Linked DNA regions of Drosophila melanogaster. Changing the gene in region 1 together with any one later gene gives a genetic interaction. Each region holds a gene or a part of one and is shown in the gene's direction. Other genes may lie near its edges.

Region 1 (3,753 bases):
AAAGTTCCCGAAATGCATAATTTTGCTTTTAACAAGAATCGTTAAATAACAATGACGGACTTAGATTTAAGTAAAATTACATTAGTTATGAATTGTAAATTATTTAAGTTCTTTTTAACTCGAAAACAAAAAGATAACATTATGTATCTCCATTAAGATAGCACAAGCAGCTATGGGAGAGCAAAGCCTAAATGTTATCAGACTGCATTTTTCAAATGCTTTTCTAAGCGTAGGGTTGAAATTTTCTTGATCAAATACCACTAGCGTAGGTCTCACTTATATCACTCATAAGCCGGCTTACTTTTGCAAATCAAAACGAATGTTTAAATTATCGAGCCCAATAAACAAAAAATTTCAGTGAAGTTGAATTTATTTATATTTTCTGAAACTTCGCAATAAAAAAGCCCACAGTGTCCGCATTTGCTCCGCTTGGACCGAAGCGCTGCAACAGACGAGATTTACATGCCTCGAAACCGGGAAGCGGAAGTCCGGGACCGCCCCACCGGGGAGTGGCATCTGTTAGCCGCAGCTCGACAAATTTTCTTAGTGCCCAGGCCACAAGACATTCGCACTCATCCTCGGTGACGGTGCACGTGCTATATACAAGGATGCCGCCAGGACGAACGAGCTGCACTGCCTGTTCAAATAGCCGGCGCTGAATATGGGGATATGAGGACAAGACCTTAACCTGTTTAATGCTGCAGGACAACTGTGGCCGGTTGCCCAGCCCACTGCAGGGTGCATCGAGCAAGATTCGGTCAAAGCTTTCACATGGAAACGGAGGCCCAGTGAATTCTCCCACGGGTGCAGATGGAGCGTCCGCTGCCACTGCCTCGGTGGAGTTAAAAACATGCGCCGTTATGCTTTTGTAGTGTCCCAATTTGGGCAGCATGCTGCGGACGCGACTGGCCGAATTGTCTAGGGCCACCACAGATCCCCGATCGCCCATCAACTCGGCTATGTGGCTTGTTTTGTTACCCGGAGCGGCACACATGTCCAGTATGCGCTCGCCGGGCTGCGGATCCAGGACACGGACGCAAACAATAGAAGGCAGGTTTTGCAACAGGCCGTCTTCGCTGCTTAGATCCCCCAGCGTGGGCACTCCGCTGACGTTGGACTGCATTTCCACGGCCACTCCAGAGGCGGGCTTCTCCGCGTTGTTGAACAGCTGATACCGCTGCATTAACACCTTGCCTGTACCCAGGAAAACCTTATTTGGGCTTTCGTACCGCTTGACCGTCCCGCGCTTGCATTTTCCATCCAGATCTGCGTAGACATTGACGAGTTCCTCCCGCTCAGTGTTTGACTCCATAGCTAAAACACCGGGGGCGTATATGTGGGCGCCTCGCAGTAGTGCAGCTCCGCAGTTAGTGTCAACCACTACCTCCTTGAGCTCGGAGTCGGCCACAGCTTTGGTGAGCTGTGAGTCCAGCGGATCAATGCACAACATCTCGGGTAGGTTTGGCAAGCAGTAAATCCTTGGAGATTTTACACCGTAGCGAATGGCGAGTTTTTCTTCTAACTTTTTCCGAAAGTCGTCAACGGAACACCTAAGAGTGTTCACCCTGTAAGTGGTGACTTTGGGAGTAAGGCACAGCCATTCCAACAGCGGAGCAAGTGCAGCAGACTTGACAAAACCAGGAATTAACAGTTAATAAAATTTGCAAGCCAGTTTTTGTTGTAAATACGTATTTGTGCACATTGAAAGTACATACATTCACTTTAAGGATATCGGCTTCCAGCAACGGGTTCACCAAAAATGGTGTTTTTGGGTAAAACATATTAACATTTAACTTAGTTCAAATCACCTGGATAGTGAACTTTATCGAGTGAGCATTGTGCGACAATGATGAATCGATTAATCCAAATCGTTGGCAACTCTAGCCGAGGTGGCGGAGAAGAGACGTGGCAGCATTTCCCGAGTTTTCACCACGGGACTACACAACATCGGCATCCCGCTCTAGCTCATGCGCTGCGCCCATCTCTATCGGCAACGTTTATGTTGGTGAGTTTGCAGTTTTTTCAACAGCAAGTGTATTCTCGGTCAAGTTTTATTTTGCTCTGTGATTTTAGACATTTCCAAGCAGAAGTTTTTAAAATTTCCGCTCCTAGCCGTGTGCATTTGATTCAATTAGTTGGTGCGTATGCGTTTTCAGTCGAAAAAGGGGGTGGTATGTCAAGGCAGAGATACTTTTCTTGATTTTAAGAAGTTCCGCAGTAATGTAGATGTTCGTGTGAGTGTTTAGTGTGGGCTATCCACGAACACTCGCGCAACGTACGCGGCTGTGGTGAATAGTGGAAGTATTAGTATTGGAAGCCGCACGAATTAATCGTCGGTGCTTTGTTTATAGCATTATCGTAACAGGAGACAAGGACAAGCTCTCCTTTAATTACAAAAGTGATAGCTAAATTATATAATTGGGAACATTTTACAATCTCTGTTCGGCAGACAATAGTGACTTGTGCTCATCGACTATCGGTAGCGGATGCTATCGATACATTTCTCTCCATTATCTTTCTATTCGCAATTCGGTGTGTGGTGTGTTTGGCAGCATAGAAAATTCAATCAAAGAAAAGTCCACGAAAAAAGGCAGAATAATCGGTAAATGGACGTGTAAAGTGTCACTGAGCTAAAAGGATCTCAGTTAAAAGAAGTCCAAGTAACTTCGGACCGGTCTCTGTATTCTTGTAAAAACAAGGGACGGCGGCAGCCGCATTTCACCAACCCATAAGAAAAACAGCGTACGTCACTCACACAGACGCAGGCAACCACGTATAAAGTTCAAAGTTGTCTGATCCCGATCCGAAAGTGGGCTTAGTTGCGAAATGTCTGAACATGGGGCGTGGGCTGGCGAAGCGTTCATCTTCGAGCAGTGACGCCCTCCGCCTGGAGCTTCTATTTAAACGCATTAAAGGCAGCAAAGGCAGGGCGGCTCAACGCAGTTGGCAACCCTGGCGCCTGCGGGTGTATGCGTGAGTGTGCGGTGGTGGGCTGCCTCGCTTCCCTCAGCGCTAAATTAAAAGCTGCTACGTGTAGTTTTCGATTTCGGCTGCTTCCAAGCCAACTATCGTCAGCTGGCATCAGCATCTTCTCAGTAACGTGGAGCACCTATCTTTGCGCACTACCGGTCCGGAGAAGAAGTCTCTGGGGTGTTAGTTCCCTGTAACAAACTTAGGTTTTTGGATATCCGATTGCTGTCAAACGAAAGGTTTCCGTATGTTTCGCTGGCAACCTTTTTTCTTTTTGTGTTCGTGCGAAACGGGCTTGCTCATTGCGTTCCTCCATTTTAACATGAATTGCTTAGCCATCGGTTGCAGCCTGCTCGGTTGCAGGGCTCAAAAGGCGGCAGCGGTGACTCACTGTAGAGTTTGGGAGCTTCCCCTCCGCCCAGCAAGTTCGCCGAAAACTGCAAGTTACCTGGCCTTATCATTCACGCACTTCTCAGCCCGCACGTTTCTTGCGTACTCTGTGTAAAGTGGGTGGAGGACGTTGGAAGGGAGGCGCTGAGCGCCGACAGCCGTCATGGTTCTATACTAAAAATCGATATCTTATCAGCAGCCGCTAGCGGGGCAAACACTAAAAGCAAGCGACTCGTGTTTCATACATCCTCCATTTCGCGTTGTATTTAAGTGTGGAATTAATTACATAAACAAATTTTCTGTTTTTCTCATGCTGACGCATTGAAGACGTCCTTATTACAATAAACAAAAACGAATTTCGTTTCTTTTTCCGGTTTTTCCGCTCTTCCGGTT
Region 2 (3,753 bases), on another chromosome or scaffold:
GCGAGAGTCCGTTTCACAAGGACATTGCCTTCTTTGTCTGCCGTGACCGCCAGTCATTGCAGATTGTGCAGGGCGAGGGATTCCAGCACCTAGTGAAAGTACTGTGCCCCACCTACAGACCACCGAGTGCGGCGAAACTGGAGGCCATTATCTGCAGGGAGTCGGAAGCGCAGAGGTCCAAGCTCTGCCAGCAGTTGGCCGACATCTCGACACTCAGCCTAAGTTGCTCGGTGCACACGAATGCGGAGAGTCGAAGCTGGATGGAGCTGGTGGCCCACTTTCACGAGGGGCGGCAACGAATCTCCCGAACTCTTTCTGTGCTGCGCCTTCCCGATCTTTTCACCTCCAACGATCTGGTGGATCGCATGGACCAAGTGTGTCAGCGCTTCGACATTCCAAAGTCAAGGATCTGCTGCGTGTCGACAAGGAGCAGTCAACTACTGGAGGATGCGGTGACATCGTTCATGGGCGCTCATCATCATGTTCCCTGCTTCGCAGACCAATTGAATTCTATTTTAGAGGAGGTGGTGCAGCGCCCAGAAATACGTCATTTGCGCGACAAGGTGCGTTCCCATGTGCAGTCCACATTGCAGCTGAATCCCCAACTGGATTCCATACACCGACCGATTAGTGTGTACAATATGCTAGACTTATACCTGAAACAGACTCTCGTTCAAGAGCCGCTGCCGCTTTCGACATCGGAGGTGGATTTGTGTCAGCAATTGCTGGACGTGCTGAGGCCGTTGACCAGCTCCATGCGTGAGCTAAGTCGAACACCATATCCGGCGGCCAGCACAGCCCTGCCCATTGCCCAAACTCTGATCAACGAACTGAAGCAGGAGAAGAGTGCGGAACACATGGTTGCCAGGGAAATACGCTTGTTCCTGGTTCAGCAGCTGGAGGAGATCTTCGAACGAATGGAGCGCAACTTGCACCTGGCATTGGCAAGTCTGCTGGACCCACGCTTTCGAAATATTCCCTTCCGGAGTGGGGCCCTGGTGGCCCAGTACATGACTCAACTCTATGACATGATGCAGGCGCATGTGGACAGCGGGGAGCAAGCTGTTGCAAAGCATCCGGAGAACCGTGATCACTACGATATCTGGGCGGCATTCAAATCCTTTTCGCATGGGAAGCAAAGGATTGTAAACGGCAGCAACGGTCCCGAGGCGGACGATGAGATAGCCAGATACTTTTGCGCCGGCATGAGTACCCTGCGAGCCGATCCCTTTCAGCTCTGGGAGGAACTGGCCGAAGCTCACCCCTTCCTGCACAACGTAGCACAGAGGTACCTGCACGTTCCGGCCACCGCAGAGCCGGCGGATCGGCTATTTACGGCCGAAGGAGCGGCGGTTGCGGCGCAGTACGCCAGACTAATCGAAAACAACATGGAAAACATACTCTTCATGGCGGAAATTCCAACGAAGGAGTGGCAGTTATAGCGTAGTCCATAATCAATCCAAACCTAAGTTGAGCACTGTGTTTTTGTACCCCTTTTATTAACTAATTTATTAATTTACATTTACAATAATGCGAACTATAAAATACATTTTTTAACTTTTTAGCTTCTCAAGCGTTAAGGAACTATTTTTGTATTAGAAAATTAGAGGTAGGGAACGAATAACGAACACATATTCATTAAAGATTTGTAAGTACTATTTACTACACATATTTACACAAATAATTTATTTTAAATATAACTTTATTGTTTACTTTTTTCTTTTGTTATCACAAATCGCCGTTACAAATTCAAATAACAATAACACCAGCAAATTAGCAAAAATACCAAAACCGAGAGAATACCAAAAACTTCCCAACACTGCCGACAGCTCAGTAATTTTCGCTTACACGGTCACACTTCTGATGACGTTTTTTCGTATTTTGAAGGGAATGTAAATGTGGAAAAACTGAGAGATTTGCAACATGCAAACATCCACGACACGCTAAAAACTCACCGAGTGCCGCCACACGACAATCCAACCGAGAGGAGCACTCCGCACAGCTGGCGGAGCACCCAGAAGGCAGCAGGCGAAAGTTGCGTGGCTGTTGTTTCCGGAAGCGGTGGGCAGAGGGAAATCCGAAGCAGTGGTAGTAGGGAAAGAGGCATCGAAACCCACCCAGCGAAGGCGACCTTGGGAGTGGCAGCGGCCCAATATGCACAACAACTCCACAAAAACCAAGGAAATGTTCATCGTGCGTGCTCTAGAAAAGATCCTTGCCGATAAGGACATACGGCGCTCCCATCACTCGCAGCTGAAGAAGTCCTGCGATTCGGCGCTGGAGCAGATTAAGGCGGAGCTAATCAGTGCCGGCCAGATCGCAGAGGGCAATGAGCTGCCCTGTGCCGCACTCCCGCTGCCCAAGAATGATGCAGCGAGCATCATAAATGCGGAGACCTACTTTCTCCCCTTCGAGCTTGCCTGCAAGAGCCGCTCGCCCAGGATCGTGGTCACCGCACTGGACTGCCTGCAGAAACTCATTGCCTATGGCCATTTGACAGGATCCATTCAGGACTCGGCCAATCCGGGTCACCTGCTCATCGACCGTATCGTTGTGACCATATATGGCTGCTTCAGTGGTCCCCAGACGGACGAGGCCGTCCAACTGCAGATAATAAAGGCTCTGCTCACGGTGGTCACCTCGCAGCATGTGGAAATCCATGAATTCACACTGCTGCAAGCTGTGCGCACCTGCTACGACATCTATTTGTCCAGCAAGAACCTGGTCAATCAGACCACAGCACGCGCTACGCTCACCCAAATGTTGAACGTGATATTTGCCCGCATGGAGAATCAAGTGTACGAGCTACCACCTCCCAATTCCAATCCCACCAACGGCAGCATCCACTCGGAGGATTGCAATGGCTCGGGAGAGGAGTCGCTGCGGGATTCCGACGAAGTAATTGCCTCGGAACTGCTGGCGGAGATCATATCAGGTGCGTGGCACTCGGTGGAGAAAGTTTGATAAACAGATGTTTCTTGTTAAGCTGAAGTTGCTTATTATTCTACTTAACTCGCTTAGATTTAACTATTTTTCAATATTTTCAAGAAACGTAATTAAGTTCATAAAATATTTCTTATCGGATGGGAAAAAATTGTATGAATCATTTACAGTACGATACGATAAGGTCCAACATAAAATTCCACTCCTCCAAACCGTCTAATTATCATTGCGCGAAAATAATGACAGTTACGTTTTTCAGCTGCCTACAATGAGGCGATGAAGGATCAGGAATCGGTCGGTGAGCCAGAGCCAACACTTAATGGAAACGACTACTCCTCGCACTCGGATCACGACAGTGTGGAGCTGCACAGCGAAAACGATGCGGTTGTAACGGCTAAGTTTACGCACATCCTGCAGAAAGATGCTTTTCTCGTGTTCCGGGCACTGTGCAAGCTATCGATGAAGCCTTTGCCGGATGGACATCCAGATCCGAAATCGCACGAGCTGCGTTCCAAGGTGCTGTCATTGCATCTGCTGCTGCTCATCCTCCAGAATGCCGGGCCCGTCTTCCGCTCCAACGAGATGTTCATCATGGCCATTAAGCAGTACCTGTGCGTGGCCTTGTCAAACAACGGAGTCAGTCTGGTGCCGGAGGTCTTCGAGCTGTCGCTTTCAATCTTCGTTGCCCTACTCTCGAACTTCAAGGTGCATCTTAAGCGGCAGATAGAGGTGTTCTTCAAGGAAATCTTCCTAAACATTCTTGAGGCGAACTCAAGCAGCTTCGAGCACAAATGGATGGTAATCCAAGCG

Evidence for each region.
Region 2: of Arf1 (region 1) and Sec71, changing one suppresses a phenotype caused by changing the other (phenotypic suppression), as found in Drosophila melanogaster (one study listed by BioGRID).

Annotation. Positions count from the first base shown.
Region 1 is NT_037436.4:22,870,309-22,874,061, reverse strand, and holds the start of Arf1 (ADP ribosylation factor 1), read left to right. Parts: upstream 1-1,830; 5' UTR 1,831-2,005; exon of another isoform or gene 2,006-2,249; intron 2,250-2,337; exon of another isoform or gene 2,338-2,742; intron 2,743-2,974; exon of another isoform or gene 2,975-3,215; intron 3,216-3,753. Other genes in the region: CG11109 (uncharacterized protein), read right to left, coding at 374-1,627, 1,716-1,781. UniProt on the Drosophila melanogaster protein: Small GTPase involved in protein trafficking between different compartments. Modulates vesicle budding and uncoating within the Golgi complex. In its GTP-bound form, triggers the recruitment of coatomer proteins to the Golgi membrane.
Region 2 is NT_033779.5:13,791,694-13,795,446, forward strand, and holds the start of Sec71 (secretory 71), read left to right. Parts: upstream 1-1,827; 5' UTR 1,828-2,154; coding exon 2,155-2,935; intron 2,936-3,202; coding exon 3,203-3,753. Other genes in the region: CG16863 (uncharacterized protein), read left to right, coding at 1-1,442.